Diceros bicornis minor: one gene and its partner. The protein of the gene in region 1 interacts with the protein of each later gene in a pairwise test. Links are inferred from orthologs where the notes say so. Each region holds a gene or a part of one and is shown on either strand. Other genes may lie near its edges. The genes, in order: CEBPG and CEBPE.

What was found.
Region 2: the proteins of CEBPG (region 1) and CEBPE interact in a two-hybrid assay, tested with the Homo sapiens proteins (2 studies listed by BioGRID and IntAct, with this or other methods). The link is inferred for Diceros bicornis minor from reciprocal best matches to the Homo sapiens genes CEBPG and CEBPE.

The regions. Positions count from the first base shown.
Region 1 is NC_080773.1:7,002,679-7,012,355, forward strand, and holds the start of CEBPG (CCAAT/enhancer-binding protein gamma), read left to right. Parts: upstream 1-5,816; 5' UTR 5,817-5,971; intron 5,972-6,301; exon of another isoform or gene 6,302-6,718; intron 6,719-9,677. UniProt on the Homo sapiens protein: Transcription factor that binds to the promoter and the enhancer regions of target genes. Binds to the enhancer element PRE-I (positive regulatory element-I) of the IL-4 gene. Binds to the promoter and the enhancer of the immunoglobulin heavy chain.
Region 2 is NC_080744.1:24,654,770-24,662,970, forward strand, and holds CEBPE (CCAAT/enhancer-binding protein epsilon), read left to right. Parts: upstream 1-4,275; 5' UTR 4,276-4,831; coding exon 4,832-5,341; intron 5,342-5,938; coding exon 5,939-6,274; 3' UTR 6,275-6,454; downstream 6,455-8,201. UniProt on the Homo sapiens protein: Transcriptional activator. C/EBP are DNA-binding proteins that recognize two different motifs: the CCAAT homology common to many promoters and the enhanced core homology common to many enhancers.

The DNA of each region.
Region 1 (9,677 bases):
TTTAGATTTGCAAAATATTGAGAAGATAGTGCTGAGATTTCCCATTTACCCTGCACCCAATTTCCCCTATTATTATCTTACATTAGTATATTTGTTACAATTAATGAGCCAATATTTATACATTATCAAATAAATTAAATAAAGTCTATACTTTATTTGATTTTTTTTAGTTTCTACCCAATGTCCTTTCTCTGTTCCAGGATCCCATCCAGGATACCACATTACATGTAGTCATCACATCCCTTAGGATTCTCCAGACCGTCACATTTCCTCTGACTTTCTTTGTTTTTGATGACCTTGACAGTTTTGAGGAATACTGGTCAGGTATTTTGTAGAATGCCCTTCTAGTGGAATTTGTCTGGTGTTTGTCTCATTTGACTGGGGTTTTGAGTTCTTGGAAGGAAGATCAAAGAGGTCAAGTGACATTTTCATCTTATTATGTCAACATGGTTTATGACTATTGAAATTGACCTTGATCACCTGGCTGTAGTAAGTAGCATTTATCAGGTTTCTCCACTGTACAGTTCCTCTTTATTTTTCCCTTTCATGCTCTGCTCTTCAGAAGGAAGTCACCATGTGCAGCCTACACTTAAGGAGTGGAGAGTTACGCTCCTCCATCTGAGGGTGGAGTATCTACATAGATTATTTGGAATTCTTCTACATGGGAGAGTTGTCTCTTCTCCGACATTTATTTATTTACTCAATCATTTATTTATATCAACATGGACTCAGGGATATTTATTTTATACTTTGGATTATGATGCAATACTACATTATTTATTTTGCCCCTCAAATTGGCGTGGGGGCTCTTTGGGTGCTGGGGGCTCTTTCATTTGGGTCCTGTGACTCTTTGACATCCTATAATGGACTGAATGTTTGTGCCCCCCCTACATTCCTATGTTGAAGGAATCACTAATCCCAAGTATGATGGTATTTAGAAATGGGGCCTTTGGGAGGGAATTAGGGTTAGATGAGTTCCTGAAGGCCCTCTTTTGATGGGATTAGTGCCCTTATAAGACGAGACACCAGACAGCTTGCTCTCTCTCTCTCCCCGCATGCGCACTAACAGGTCACATGAGCACACAGGGAGATGGCGGCTGCCTACAAACCAAGAGAAGAGGCCTCAGAATAAAATCTACCTTGCTTGCTTCTTGATCTTGGACTTGTCAGCCTTCTATTGGAATTTGTCTGGTGTTTGTCTCATTTGATTGGGGTTTTGAGTTCTTGGGAGGAAGATCAAAGAGGGTGAATGCTATTTTCTGTGGTTTAAGCCACCTAGTCTATGATACTTTGTTATAGCAGCCTGACCTAAGGCACATACCACCATTGTTTTGCTTTTTGAGTACTTCCTTACTTTCTGGTACTGCAAGATGCTCCAGGCTTATCCTGTATATTTCCTGCCTCAATCCTAGAATCAGCCATTTCTCCAAGGAGCTCAGTTCCTTTTATTAAAGAATGGTATTAGAAACTAAGAACGGGGACCTAGGTAACAAATTCTCTTTGGATGGACAAACTATTTTGTGCCTCCTACGTGCTAGGCACTATGCGATCTTCTTTTCATGTCAACTTACTTAATCCTCGTAACAATTCTATGAGGTATTTACTGTCAACCCTCTCTACAGATGAGGAACAGGTTAAACCTAGGTTGGCTAGGTTAAATGCTAGCCAACATCACCCTGTTCTGTCTCCAAAGCCCATCATACTGCCATGATGGAGACTGGTGTCACATATATCACAAATATACAAACCAAAAAAACCCCACCTCATTTATCTTTGGTTTGGTACTTCATAGGCACTGGAATAATTTGCATTACAATAACTATGTAACAGGTAATTAGTGCTTATTCTGTGGAGTGAAGATATGTGATAATAAGACCCTCTTGGGCCCACAAAAGATCCAGATTACCTCTCTTGATGTGCACAGATGTCACCCCCTCTCTTATGTGCACAGATGACGAATACCTATCATTATATGCCCAGGCGACAGGCACCTAGCCTCATGTGCACAGATGCATGTAGCTCTCCTCATGTGTGTGGATGATCTGCACTGTCTTCATATAATCACATGGTACACATCTATCCTTGTGCACACAGATGACAAGTACGATTCTTAAGTGCACAGATGACATGTCTTAACTCACAGGCTAACAAAATCTGACACATGGAAAAATGCTTTATGATAGACATTCACAGTATTTGCTAACTGTTCAAGTTTAAGCTATGTCAGATTTTTCTCTTCATGCATAGGACCTGCTTTTGAAATTTGGAAATGTCCTAAGACAACTATTTAGCATCTTAGCTGTTATGATTCCAAATAGTGCTTCTAAAGGTAAAATTGGAGGTTTAAATTTTCCCCTCAAGATAGGGATCATATCACGTGGGAAAGAACAAATCAGTCAGCCAGGGTGACTAAGGATCCATTAGAGTGACCAGTGTGATCTGACATTTGAAATGGATATTAATGGATTCGTCTGCTCAGCACTCTCTTTTCCTCTGGGAAGTGCCTCTGCCATCCCCTCCGTAGCTGCCATGTTAGTACATCGTGATTTGTTCCCGGTTATTTGATCATTCCGGGTATGAGCACACTGCTCAGCTGGGCCAATCCCAGAGTCCTTGCCTAAGGATTTTTGTAACAAGAACTTAGAAAGGGATTTAGTTGGCCTTTCTCTAGTGACCAAAGCTGTGAACATTGAGGATGTCATTGGCCATGTGAAGAAAGAAGCAAGCAGAAAGAATAATGAAACCAATAGGCATGTGCACACACACATACACACACAGAGACAGAGAGACAGAGACAGACATGAAGACATTTGAGCATTTCAGGTCTTGGTTCTGATGTGGCCTGGTACTTCATGAAGAGTGTCCTATAACCTTTGACCATGTCCTTCTTTACGCTAAGGCTAGTCAGGGATGGTTTTCAGTTACTTCCAATCAAAAGAACCCTAAGCAATGCAGAATGATTGACAATCACTGTCACATTATTGCTAATATAACACAATCAATATCTACTGAGATTCAAACCTGTGACAGACATCATCTCAATTCTCAAAATATTATAGACATGGTCCAGATCTCCTGTCAAAGGTGGTTAATTTGGTATACTAATTTTTCAGAAACTTTCCAAATACACATTTATGCTAGATACCTAAGTATTATCATTAAGTACTTAAGGCACATTTAAGACAAATACTTGTTTGCATAGTAACTGTCTATTGATCTGGCTTTCAAACAAGAGATTTCAAATTATTAAATTTTTCCTCCATTCTACTTTATAGAAACAAATGAAATGATAAGATGTGGCAACTAAAAGAACTATTCTAAAAAACATCTTTTGGGATACACCAAAGGGTCAGCATCAACACCCTCAATATTGTGTATATTTCAGTGCCTGAATCATCAAAGCAATGTTAAGCACCCTGTTTTGAAGTTCATTTTAGTCTACTACAATTCTATGGATATAATTTGTTTATAATTCACATATGAGCATCATGGTATTAACAGCTAACACTTTGCTCCTACCATGGACCAGGCAGGCATTGTTCTAGGAGCCTAACATATTAACTCCTTTAATCCTCACAGCAATCCTATTAGGTAGATACTGTTGTTATCCCCATTCACAGTTGACTCAGAGGTCAAGTAATTTGTTTGAGGTCACACAACCAGTAAGAGGTGAAGCTGTGGACAGAATAGCCTGACACTAGAGTCCATACCTCTTAGGTAACTAAGGTCGTTAATCATAGTAGCTGTCAGGTCACTAGCATGTTCAGTTAATAGGACATCCTACTTCTCAAGTCATTTGGAGGGGATTTTAATGTACTACTTGTTTACAAATTCTTTGGATTTGTAGAATATGTATTGGGTATCAGTGAGGCAGAGATCTCTGCAGGAAATTTTTCTTTTATTATGATGGCTTGGGTCCCTGTGACTTACAAGAAAGCAATATGGTGGATCTCCTCAACCTGGAGATAGCCTCCACCAGACTCTCCTCACTTCTTTATGGGGAGAGCAAGTTAAGAGATGGCTTTCCATCTCTCTTATGGTAAAAATCAGAACGCTTCTAGGCCCTGCCTATCTCACAGTCTAACGGGGACACCGTGGTTCAGTCACTCTGGCCTTACATTTCTCCCATCACAAGACCTTTAGATAAGACATTCCCTCTGACTGGCACATCCACTTCGTCTGTGCCACGGAGCCAAACTCCACTCATCTTTTAGGCCTTCCCTGACCCATAGACCAGGTTTTGATCCCGTTTTATAATCTCTCACAGCACTGTGTACGTCTTTCTTGTAGTATCTATGAAAATGGTTATAGAAAATTGTGTCATTACTGAATGTCTGCTTCCCTTGGCTCTAAGTGTAAGCTCCATGTGGGCAGGGACTGTGTTTGTTGTGTTCATTGCTGAATCCCCAGCACTTGGCCCACAGCTAGCACATAGTTGGCACCAAATAAATATTTGTAAACTGAGAAGAAAGAATTACCAGCTACCAGTTGAAGAGGAAATAAACACTCTAGTCTCCTTGGCATTGGCTAGACTTGCTGAGTGTGGAAGGCGGCCTGTCCAGATAGACACAGAAAATGCTAGAGCAGCTTGGCAGAGTGGCTAGCAAACTAGAGGATAAATGAATATACCAATATGATTTTTTTCCATACAATTTTTAAGAGATTAGAAAATAGTGAGGGTAAAATTATGATTTTGTGAGCAACAAAATATAATCCAACTTTAATAGTGCTAAAATCTTGATCAAAGAAATTTCAGCTAAGAACACTGAGGGCCAAAGTGAAAGAAACATGCTGCTTTTGATGATATTGTGTCACTCCAGCAAGTGTGCTTCTATGGTCATCGTGGTTCACTTTTAGTTGCAGCCCTTTTTATTTTTACTTTATTTTTTGCAAATGTTTTATCATCTCTTTATGATTCCTCGAAACAGTCCTATGCAGAGAGCTGGTGCCATGGCCTGGGCGATGAAGAAACGTTTCCTCTTTCAAAGACTCTATTTTTTGGACAACAGGAGTTGCTCAAGAGGAAGCAATCAAACCTATCGCCGGCTCTGTCCTCTACCCAGCACACTGCTTCCTGGTTTTAAAGCGCTTTCAGATCCGCCTGTGAATTATCTTGGATAAATAAAGCGGGATTGCCATTCATTTTTGGAGATCACATCTCAATCTGGAAGACAGCACAGGGGAATCGATCATGGAAATTCCATTCGTTTCCCCGTTTCAGCGAACCACAGTCCGCAGTGTCCGCCAACGTGACATCAATACTACGTTGGGAAGATTTTGCTTCGTTCGTTTTTTAACAAGTTTGCAGTTGCCTTAACGGCTGTGAGGTCCAGGCCTTCTCTGCAGGCTCCCTCCGAGGGCGCGGGCCCGTTGGGTGCCCCACGTCCCGGGAAACTGTCCCCGTGAGGACGCCGAGGGGGCTCCCCGAGGCCGTGGGGAAACCAAAACAGAAACCGCTGATTCAAAACACCACCTCAGGAAATGGTGCTTTCCAAAGACAGGTGTTGCCTCCAACGTTGACAGACCCTTTCTCGCCGCGGGTCTCCACAGCTCCGGGCCGCAGCCCCGCTCCAACGGCGCAGGAACCCCGGGCGGCGCCGAGGCAGACCGTCACCTCCCGCCACATCCGCCCACTCCGCTGCGCCGTGGTGGACGCCTCCGCCACGTGCCCGCCTCCCGCAGCCAGACCGCTCCCGATTGGCTGGCGGCGCTGCCTGTCGCGAGGGGCGGGCGCGTCGCCTGCAGGCCGGCGCTCCCATTGGTCCTTGACGCGGCGGCGGCAGCGCGCGCGGCCCCGGCGAGGAGGGGAAGCCGGTGGCGGCGGCGGCGGAACGGGCGGAGGCTGCCGGTTTCGTAACCGTCGCTTGTCCTCGGTGACTCGCAGGCTACTAGGCCTGGCTCGGGTTGGGCCGCGGCGCGCGGGGCCGCTCGGAGTGGAGGCCGCCTGGGGGCGGGCGGGCTGGAGGCGCAGGTAAGGAGGTCGAGGGCGGGCGGGCGAGCTGACGGGGAGGAGGAGGCCGCGGCGGAGCCGGCCGCTTGCGTGCGCTTGGGCCTGGCCCGAGGAGACCCGGCCCGGCCCGAGGGGGCCGGCCCCGCGCGGCGTCTGATGCAACCTGCCGGCAACACCCGGCGGGGCCGCTGAGCTCATCCCTGGCCGCGGCCCAGCGCCGCCGCGCCGCCCGCCGACCCCCGCGCTCCCCGGGCGCCCCTCGCTGCCGGCCCGGACGGGAGGGAGTCGAGGTGTGCCCCTCCGGAAGTCGGCCCTGCGTGCCGTCCGGCTGTGACGGGGCTCGTATTGGCCTCTGGGGATAAAGGGTGTTCCCAGAATAGCAGAAGGGGGACCGTATCCCACTTGAGTGGCACGTAGGATAGATCCTGCCCCCACGAAGCTGCTCGATGCGGGCTGGTGGGGGATTGTGTTCAGAAGGTACTAGAAGGAGCAAGTAGTGAGGGGAAGAAGTTGCTTTTTAAATACAAGACTTTACAGAAATAATAATATGCTTTCTTCTGGGGCTGTAATTTGAATATCCTGCAATTCACTGTTGAACTTAGGATAGATGAACGTGCAGCACCCACGGGTGAATGGGAAACAGGAGGGCGAGAGATGCAGCGCCTCGTTAGCACGGTTGGAGGGAACACGGGAGAATAGCTCGCAGAGGTGTCTAGATGGAGAGGATGCACATGCGTGTTTGGGGGGAAGGATAGAATGTTCCTACAGGTAAGCTTGTATGTTTCTGTTCTACGGAAGGTTTAAGTATGTGGTTTGCCTCCTGAGGTTTCTGCTGGAATCTGGCATCTTAAAATGTGTCACTTCGAGAAAGATTTTAACATTGGTGGGTTGCACAAAAATTGGTAGTTCTTCCTCGGAGCCCACACTCAGTCGGTCCTACGCTCTGTCAAATCGTTATTTGAAGAGATTGTCTTTTAATTCAGATAGGATATGTAACTCCGAGAGAAATTTTGGCAATAAAATACTATAAGGGCTTGCTTTACTAAGAAATTCTGCATCTAAAAGTTCTTGATACTTAAAAGTTAAAATCTGGTCAGCTGTTACCCTTCGAGTAGTATTTGGGATAAGCTCTTCTGAAAGTTGATTCTCTGTTTCTGGAAAAACTTACGGTAAACAAGGTTAAATAGTTACAGGATGCTAGTGAGCTGAAGAATTTTTCAGTTTCTTGATTCCTGCTTCTGGTGGCTGCACTTAGCTGATTCAGTCCTTTTTAATATCCCTAAAAACATAGGTGGAAACAAAACTTCATTTTTCAGATTATGCTTTAAATTCTCAAGAGTACATCATGACTGTTAGCGAGGTTGTCTGATCATGGACAGGTGGTTTCATCCCAAGAGATTTAAACAGCAAGTGATGAGTCCCTGGTAAAGACAAATAGGACCTCATGGGGCTGAATATGGTCTTATGGCCTAAGCTTGCCTCACCTGATCACAGTAATGGTAAATGCAGGAAGTCACAATTCCAGGTTTATTGTGTATTTTGGGGAGGAGGTGCTTCTGTGGGTTCTCGTACTGGTAGGTACATTGATCTTCTACCTTTTTGGCTTTCCAGCCCTGTCAGTAAAAAAAAATAAAAATAAAAATGAAAATTGACCATGACCGCCTACTGTATATTTATAAACAATGTGTGTGTATTATTTTTTTTGTATGTTATAAATCACACCAAAAGTAGAAAGATGACATTAAAAAAAGCTGAATGTACATTTTTTTCTCCTACTCCAGTGGACCACTTAATGTATTCCCTGAAGGGATGTACCCTCCTTCATGGACCCCTGTTTTGGGTCATGAAGCAAGCAGTGGCAACTGAATAGAAATCCTGCTCGTTTGGGTGTCTGTTGACTTTGCTTACCTTGACTTCACTTGTAGTACAGAGTTGGCAGATCCTGCCATACATGCCTAAGAACTTGAGGTTATTAATTGGAGAACATAACTGGGCTAAGTAGAAAATAAAGGTTCTAAACTGAAATGAAGCAAAGACCAGACACGAATGATGTTCACTGTACAGACTAGGGACTTAATAGCAAATAGAACTTATTTTTATTTTTCTGTACACTTTTAAGAAAGACCAAAAACTTTAGGTAGCAAGACCATAATATCTTAGTAACACTCTTTTGATTTAATTGCGGTTGTTTTAAGAGATTTCAATGCTAGAGAGTCTCATTTTTATATGACATTTATAAAAATAAATGTTTTCTCTTAGGCTTTTGAGCCTGTATTCAGCAAATATTTGTTGAGCACCACTATATACACCTAGCTCTGCACTAGATGCTGGGCATGTGGCGAAGACGAGAGTCCTGCCTCCAGCTTAGTCTACAGGGAGATACACTGTAGAGCTGGCATTGACAAAGAAACTGGGGACAGAAGAAAATTGGACAGAAGCACAAAGAAAACAGAAAGCACAGACCATTTAGGGGACTGATAATGGTTTAGTATCATTGAGGTGTGAAGTATAAGGGAGCAGAGGCTAGAGAGAGGTTAACACCTTGGATTTGATCCTCTATGCCTGAGCCACAGAAGACTTTTCAGCAAGAGGTTGTGACACACTCAGGTTTGAGTGCTAGATTGCTCTGGAGACAGTGGTTGGAGGGAACACTGCTAAACCAGAGGAGACTAGTGCCCCTGAGAGATGATGTCAGCCTGAGGTAATTCTGTGGCAGTGGGATGGAGAGGGATGGTGGATGTTTTTTTTGGGGGGGGGGGGAAGGTGGGTAGAATTGTCAGATACTAATGATTGAACAGATTTGGAGCAAGGGAGAAACATCTATGAATATTTTGGAATGTAGATCTTCACTGAGGAAATTAGAGTGAAAAATTTATTTTGGGGGGCTGGGGGAAGAATATCTGTACATATGTGAAAAAAGTAAAGAGGGTTAGGAAAATTCTTGACAGGTTTATTATCTCAAATGAAATTTGAGAAAAATTTGATTTTGTTTTACTCATTCTAACATTCTGAGTTTTCAGTGTGTTCTTGATTTGCATGAACATTACTCAGATTAAGAAATTTGAATTAAAAAAAATGTTACCCACTCAGGCCTTCTTTCTTAAGATCCATTGTTAATGTGTAGCAGTGGTGCCCAAACTTCAGTGTCATCAGAATCACTTGGAGGTCCCATTAAAACAAGATTGCTTAGCCCTGTTCCTAGAGCTCCTCATTCCTAGGTCTGGGCCAGCCTGAGAATTTGCACTTCAAACAAGTTCCCAAATGATGCTGCTGCTGGTCCAGGGACCACACTTTGAGAACTACTGCTCTTCAGTTTTTCTACTGCTTCCTGCTTGAATGATTCACATGCAAGGAAACAGGGTGCCACCCTGCTTCCTGTGGACTGAACTTTGGAATAGTATTTGTCCCCATAGTAGCCAGACTTTCATTTAGGGTTGAATACACAGATTTGAAATAAACTTATTTTTTTGCTCACTGGAGGTGCTCAATAAATGTTTGTGGAAGGAACAGAAGCACAAATGACAGTGTAAACTGTACAATGTGTAACTTTTGGAGGCAACTATTTGCTCAGTGTAAAAACCAAATTGATAATCCATGTGGAGTTAAGTCTTTTAGGCGACTTAGCTTCTTGACCCCCTGTACTTGCTTCATGTTCCTTTATGGCTATCTCTTCACTTTAAGAGCTACTTTCTTGGCTTGTCTTTGGTTGAAGAACTTTTTTTTTTTT
Region 2 (8,201 bases), on another chromosome or scaffold:
GGAAGATCTCTAGGTGGAAGACTAGGAGGACAAAGGAGGAAGTAGTTAAGGGAGGGACAAGTCTGGCCTGGTGCTTTGGGGTAATCGCTGGAGGAAGTTGAAGGGATTAGCCCCAGGCCTTGCTTGGAGTCCCTCCTGTGTGGGCAGCCCTCCGGGCCGCCTGTCCTGGGACAGCATCATTCCAGAGCCAGCACCGCTGACAGACGTGACAGAAGGGGTGTTAAGACATCACCCTCCACCAACTGGGACACTGTGAGGACACAGGCAGGCAAGATGCCTCCAGTCCCGTCCTGGCCCGGCCCCAACCCTCTTGCTTTGTGACGGGCGTTCTTCTAGACCAAGGCTGGAGGCTCGCCATTCACAGGGGCACAGACACTTGACTCGGAGTCCCAGGTCAGCCACTGAACAGCTGTGTGTCCTTGGGCAAGTCACTTCATCTATTTAGCACTTTTAGAGAGAAAAAAAGAAGAGTTGAACCTAATCTCAAAGTGTTCCTCAATCCCCCAATCCAAGGTTGTCCCAAAACAGCAAGGGCAGAACTGGGCAGAGCTAGTCCTGTGCAGGAGGCCTTTCTCCACCCCACGTCCACAGTTTGGGACCCCTCTCCCCCAACACACACTTTCCTATCCCTGGGCTGCCTGAGGTCTCCTCCATGTGGCCTCATTCCGGCAAGTCCAGCCCTCTCTCCCCAATCCCCTCTCACTCCCTGGAGACACTTGTCCCTGGGGCCCCTCCCTCTCTCTGTAAGGTGACACTTGCTGATCTTTTCAACCTGGTCAAATGGGCAAATATGGGTTTCCTCCTGGGCAACATGCATTTATTTTTAACCTGGGCCTTTACCCTGACTTAACCCTGTCAGTCACTTTAACGCTAGGAATTCAGATGCTCAGAACTTAGGGAATTTGGGAGCCTTTTGGAGGCTGAAATCATAGCTGCTTAAGCATTCACTTATTAATAAAGTCACACAACACATCTTTTTATAACCATGTGTCCAAGGATTTTGCTATATGCTGTAAGAATAGCAAACTTATCCCTGAATTTTCCAAATCATCACAGACTCCAAATATTTTGTGCCATTGTCTCCATAAGCACACTCATTTGTATCAATCCACCTGTCCTTAATTTTAATTCAGGCAACATGGTGACCATAGCTGAAGAGGTCCAAAAAATGTATCTGACCCTACCTTCAGGGAGGGTGTAGTCTACGGGGGAAAGACGGCAAGAAGGCCTGTGGTACATAAGTGTGCACTTCACAGCATCACTGACCGTCCACTCCAGCTGGGCTGTGAGCTGCTGCAGGCGGGGCTGAACTGCCTGATCTCCAGAGCCTGCCCAGTGCCTGGTACCTACGTGCTCAAAAACGCTTGTCAAGGCCAGCCTGGTGGCATAGTGGTTAAGTTTGGCACACTCCGCTTCAGCCGCCCAGGTTCACAGGTTTGGGTTCCCAGCACGGACCAACACTTCTCATCAAGCCATGCTGTGGCAGTGACCCACAAACAAAATAGAGGAAGATTGGCACAGATGTTCACTCAGGGCCAATCTTCCTCACCAAAAAAGAAAAAAGAGGAAGACTCACAACAGATGTTAGCTCAGGGCCAATCTTCCTGACACACACACAAAAAAATCAAAAATACATGTATAAAAAAAAACGCTTGTCAAATTGAGGCCTCAGAAGAGGCTGCAGAGAGTGTTTCTGTGTAGGAGACACAGATAAACCACAAGGGGCAGTTAGAGGAAGGGCGGAAGGAGACTGAACATTTACTGAGACCAATTGCTTTCCATACATTATCTTATTCAAAGTTTAATTCAACGACAGGACAAAGTAGGCATTACTACCGCCATTTTACATGTAAGATTAAGTAACTTGCCCAAGGTCACCTAGCGGGTAAGTGACAGAGGCGGGATTTGAGCCCAGTTCTGATACTTCACCACCATGCTCACCCCCTCCCTGTTGGAAAGTCTTGATGAAGGAGGTGGTGTTTGAACTGAGGCCTGTCCCAAAGTCACTAAGATAATACGCAGGCATTGTTCCAGTTCATGCAAACAGGTAGCAACAGCAGTGGCCTGGAGAAGAGGATCCTGCTGACCAGGGAGGGCTTCTTTCTGCTCCTGAATCCCCAACACTCCCCCAGCCCTGGACTGGCACTGCCCTCCCCACCCGCTTCCTGTCCAGTGCCCCCTCCTCTCCTGCCCCGACATCCAGAGCGCCGCCGCTGGCCCAGCCACACTCTCCACTCCTCGGTTACTGGGAAACACTGATGTCAGTGCGCCAGCGACGTCAGCCACCAGCCTGGAGATGAGGGACCGAGATCCCTTATCTCTATGGCCGAGCTTTCTCATTTCCTGCCAGCTCTATTTGCACACCTCCCTGCTTCCTCCAGCGCCGCATCACTGTCCACGCAGTCTCCCCGTCCCCCGCGGGGGGGTTGGGGGGGTGACTGAGGGCACAGAAGGCTCTCTGAGTCACACAGCTCCCCCTCTCCCTAGCCCCTCTTGCCTGGGGGTTTCAAGAACTAGGGCACTGCCCTTTTCCCCAAGATCAACGCATCCTTGTATGACCTTGGGCAGCTCAGCCTGGTTTCCTCGTGTATAAGGTAGGGGTAAAAATACTGTCTCTTTTGCTTACCTTCCAACTTAACGCACAGGGAAATGGTCAGCATGGAAAAGTATGTTTCAATGATTGGAGAAGCATAACACCAGAAAATGCCAGGCCTTAACCACCATCACTATTTCAAAGTTGGGGAGGGGATAAAATTTCTCCTCACTGAGACAAGGCCCTGGCCCCAGTGCTCTCAACCTGCCCACTCTGCGTGTAACTGCACCGCAAGCCCCCATCCTGGCCATGTTTCTTCTTCCTCCTCCATGGAGGCCCAGCCTTGCCTTGCCCGGGTCGGGGCTGTGGGAGGCTGCCCTCTGCCGTCCACCTGATTCCTGACCATGGCAGCCCCTCAGGGCCTGAATTTTGGACCAATATTTCCACCTGGTGGTCAAAAGAGGCACTGCCGCCACACAAGTAGCTCAGCTCTGGTACCTGTTTGCCACAGGGTCCTTCGAAATGAGGAGAAGGTAGAAATCTCCCCATCTGGTTCCTGAGACCCGTCTCAGGGATGCACGCAGATGTCCCCACGCCACGTCCGGGCTTTCAGAGAAAGTAGCTCAAGCCCCGCGAAGAGAGCTCTTGGGGTAGGTGTAGGGGTGGGAAGGAAGGGAGGAAGGAGGATGCTAACTAGTCTGACTTGTAGGCGGCCCTGTCTACGCTTGCAGACTTTATTTTAGCGTTCAACGCCGCACATATCCCCTCTGCATCTGCCCCGCTGGGGCCTGGCCTTGGTGTACCCGACTTATAAAACATTCTGGCCTCCACAGGGCCCTCACAGCATTTGCTGGTGATAAAAGAGCCAACGACACATTTCTATGTGTCCTGTCCTTTACACTGGACCTCGAGTCCCTTTTGTAGATGAAATTCGACAGGTGAAATCAGAGCCACAGCTGGTGCCTCTGGCAGGAGAGAGTGGGGCTTCCCAGAGGAAAAAGAAAAGGGAAGGAGGGAGGGAGCCCAGCAGGAGAGCAAAAGTACAGAGTGAACCCTGGGCTTCTCCTGGAGACCCTGAAACAAAGCCTCAGGAAGAGGTGATGACAAAAGAGAAGGCTTCTCAAGCCTCACAAGGGGAAGTGGACCAAGAGACACGCATCGAGGTCAGAGAACGGCCGTGCAGAAGGAAAGACAGCAAACCAAGCTGCAGAGCGCCTGAGCCCTGCGGCCCAGGGCACAGGAAATGGGGCAGAGCCTCAGGACCAGAGCAGGGCAGAGTGCCAGCCTGAGGCTCTAGCAGTGCAGGGCAGCTGGAAGAGGGAGGCACTGGGGCCACCAGAGGAGTGCAGCTCTCGGTTCCTGGGGCAGCAGGCTTCCCGGGCCTGGGGCACAGGGCCCAAGACCTGACCAGGCACCCCAGCCAGGCCCAGGCAGTCAGGGACAGTGCCAGACTGCTAGAGCTGGCCAGGGCTGGAAACATGTGAGGGTTTGGGCTATTGCACAGGCCCTGTGCAAAAACTGAGCAAATGAGCATGCTCTGCACCATGGTACAGGCCTCCTTGTAGAGCTTGGTCCCAGACCTTCACTGCTTCCTAAACCCCTCAAACAACATCCCTGGCCTGCACCCAGGAGAATGCCCTTGGAGGTGGGGCTACAAAAGGAACTCGCTGCCCCTGGGGGTAGGTGGAGCCCCGCACTGCGGGGGACCCAGAGGGAGGCGTGTCAAAGGAGGAGCTCAGATCAGGCTGGGGGTCGGCACTGGAAGAGGGTGTTCTCTGTTCATTCTGACTTGGCACCTCATTCTGCATAGAACTTTCTGGAAGTCAGAGGGAGGAGGACACTCAAGAGTGAGGTGTTGCCCTCAGCGAGGACTCTGGAATCCCCTGGACTCAACGGGAGGGGGAGGCATTCCCAGAAGCATCAGCTCCTGGGCATCTCAGAACCCTGGCTGGGACCCTGACCACAGAGTGCCCCCAACTGCTAAATAGGTCCGGGGCCCCATTGCTCTAAGGCCTGCATCCCTTCCTCCGGGGTACACCCTGCCCCTCCCTGAGTCAGCCCAGGGAGAGAGGGGAAAAAAGGGAAGAGAAAAGAAGCATTGACTACAGAGGAAGGAAAAGGAAACAGCAGAGGAGGGAGGAGAGAGGCCACACAGGAGTGGGTGACAGAGGAGATCGGAGAGGGCAGATCTAGAGCAGATCTAGGGCAGGGGGAGATCGAGACAGGGCAAGCCGAGCATCCCAAAGCGTGCCCCAAGAGCACAGCGGCGGGGGCGGGGAGCCCAGGGGGCGGGCCGGCATGTCCCACGGGACCTACTACGAGTGTGAGCCCCGGGCTGGCCAGCAGCCACTCGAGTTCTCAGGGGGCCGAGCGGGGCCTGGGGAGCTGGGGGACATGTGTGAGCATGAGGCCTCCATCGACCTCTCCGCCTACATCGAGTCTGGGGAGGAGCAGCTCCTCTCTGACCTCTTCGCTGTGAAGCCTGCACCTGAGGCCCGAGGCCTTAAGGGCTCCGGAACCCCTGCCTTCCCCCACTACCTGCCGCCTGACCCGCGGCCCTTCGCCTACCCCCCACATACCTTCGGCCCTGACAGGAAGGCGCTGGGGCCTGGCATCTACAGCAGCCCAGGGAACTACGACCCCAGGGCTGTGGCCGTGAAGGAGGAGCCTCGGGGGCCAGAGGGCAGTCGAGGGGCCAGCCGCAGCGGCTACAATCCTCTGCAGTACCAAGTGGCGCACTGTGGGCAGACGGCCATGCACCTGCCCCCGGCCCTGGCAGCACCCAGCCAGCCCCTGCGTGTCCTCAAGGTAAGAACAGGTCAATTCTCCTCCTGCCACCCCGGGGCTGCAGAGATGCCCCTCTGGATGGGGGATCTCTGAGCTCCCTGCTTACCTAACGGGTCTGTGTTTGGTGTTGCTCTGCGAAATTACCCTCCCCACAGCCCTCCGTGCTCACCACCGAACCACGACCCCTCTTTGCTTCTCTGTGAATTCACTCCCACCCCAAACCTCACCATGTGGCTGGAACCCAACATGTCTGCAGCCCTTGTGGCCAGCTGACCTGCCCTGACCTCTGGCCCCCCACCAGCTTGCTGCACTCCTCTTGTTTCTCTGCCTCCTGCTTCTAGAAGAAGAAATGCCTGCTGATCGTAGAACTGGAGACTCAAGATAGATTGAAAGAAAGTGTCCTCAGAGAGTGTGGGAACATGACAGGAGTTTGAGTCAGAGCAGAGGACCCTCTGCATCTGGCAGGGCACGGGCTGTCCTGACTGGGAGCCAGGAGCCTGCTCTGAACCCCATATCCCTTTGATGCCCAAGAGTGCTCTGGCTGCTGGGACTCCCGCCCTGCCTCCACTCTGCTTGCCAGCCAGCTGTCACCTCTTCCCTCTGTGTCTTCCTCTCCAGGCCCCTTTGGCCGCTGCTGCGCCGCCCTGCAGCCCCCTCCTCAAAGCGCCCTCCCCAGCCGGCCCCTCGCACAAGGGCAAGAAGGCGGTGAACAAGGACAGCCTGGAGTACCGGCTGCGGCGGGAGCGGAACAACATCGCTGTGCGCAAGAGCCGGGACAAGGCCAAGAGGCGCATTCTGGAGACGCAGCAGAAGGTGCTGGAGTACATGGCAGAGAACGAGCGGCTCCGCAGCCGCGTGGAGCAGCTGACCCAGGAGCTGGACACCCTTCGCAACCTCTTCCGCCAGATCCCTGAGGCCGCCAACCTCATCAAGGGCGTTGGGGGCTGCAGCTAAGCCCGGCTGGCAGACTGTGGGCACCAGCCCCGTGGCCCAGTTTGACCGTGGGAACTCCCACCCTGCTGGGGTCCTAGAGCCCCTCACAGGCCGAGCCTGAGACACAGACATGGACAAACGGCAGCGGGTGGCAAGGGAGGAGGGCAGGCCCCAGCGTGATGGTTCTGTGGCTGAATAAAATTACACCATGACTCAGTGCTGGGGCTGTACACTGGACCTGTGTGTGTGTGCGTGTGTGTGTGTGTGTGTGTGTGTGTGTGTGTTTGCATGTGTGGCATGGGGGACTCCAAGGGTGGTGAATGCATGTGGCTAGGTGTGCATACTTATTGATTCCATGCCCAAATGAGTATTCAGGAATATTCCCAAATATTCAGCAGACATGCTGCCCACAGCTCTCCACCAACACACCACATGGCCAGGCTGGTGTCTGTCACTCTGCTCTTCTGTCCCCCTCTTCCCCGGCCCAGTCTGTCCTTCTGGACACTGAAGGCACCCCCACCCCCACCTCCCACAGGACCTGGAGTGGCCTCTAGATACTCTCCTGACGGAGCTCTGTGGCTTGCAGGGAGACCCCAGCACCACCCAGTCCTCTATGCCAGGCCTGCTGACCCTAGCCCTGCTCTCTTACCTTGAGGTATAAGTCTGGGAGCTCCTGCCCCAGGTGACCAAGGGAAAATTCTAGATGGCTCTGCCATATTTATGGTCCCTTAGCTCTTGATCCAGGACTCGATCCCTTCTCTCCAGTTCCTCAGCTTTAGTCCACCAGACTGATATCCCCCCATGGCTCCCACGCACTCGCCCCCATCTTTGTCCCTCATCCCCTGGGGCTGGGGAATGAGAAAACTGATCATGAGGAGGATGACAACCACCTGTGCCAGTGAGCCCCCACGTTCAAAGCACTGTCCTTTCCATAGAACTCTAGTCTGAGGGACACCAGAGTTCAGTGCTTGAGAGCTTCGGTTTGACTCTCCCTCTGCTATGTACTAGGTGTGTGACCTCGGGCCAGTTACTCCTCTCCATGCCTCAGGTTCCTCATCTGCAAAATGGGAGGCGAAAGAGCACCTGCCTCACAGTGCTGTTATGTTCATAGGTAAACAGGGCCCGGCCTGTGTAAGCAGGCATAGTTGTTGTTATTCCAATTTTAGAGGGCTGAAAAGACCTTAGAGATCTCATCTAAACTTCTCATTTGGCAAGTGAGGAAACTGAGGCCTCAGAGAGGGGGAGGGACACGATTGGTTTGAGGCAGGACCAAAATTAGCTCCCTAAAATCACAGATGTCAAGAGGGGCTGAAAGCGACCTCAAGAGATCATCTAGTGGGCTCGCCCTCAGACGAGCAAGATAGTGTGAGCCACATTTGATAGATAAAGCCCTGGAGGGCCAGAGCCGGTGAGACATTCTCCTGAAGCTCACTCAGGCCCTTTGCTGTCTCACACCCGGCACCTGTCTCTCGACTCGGTGCTCACACCTTCCCCCCTCAGAGGCAGGCGGGTGCACACGAATCTTGTTCAATAAATAATCAGGAATTGCCAACAGAGTCAGAGATATAGTACACCATACGGGCTGGTTAGAGTCTCTCCTAGGCCACCAATGACTTGTGGGCCAACGCTGGGAAAGACTTCAAGGAATAACTTTCTGAGAGGGAGAGAGACTGGGGTCTGGATCCTCCCAGGCCTCTCTCTCCCTCTCCTGTCTCCACATCCCCAGTGTCACAGCCTTCCCACATCTTGGGCATCCGTGTGCACCATGCCTGCCTGCCTCCCCCGGGACTCAGTCCTTTCCTGCCTCTGCCTCCATGTCTCTCAGGCGTCATCTCTCCTACATCTGTGCCCTGGATCCCCCTGCCCCAGGTCTGGTTTGGGCAGACAGATCTGAACCTCACTAGATGGTTTATTCCCTCACCTGCCTGGGCTGCCAGAGTTTGGAAGG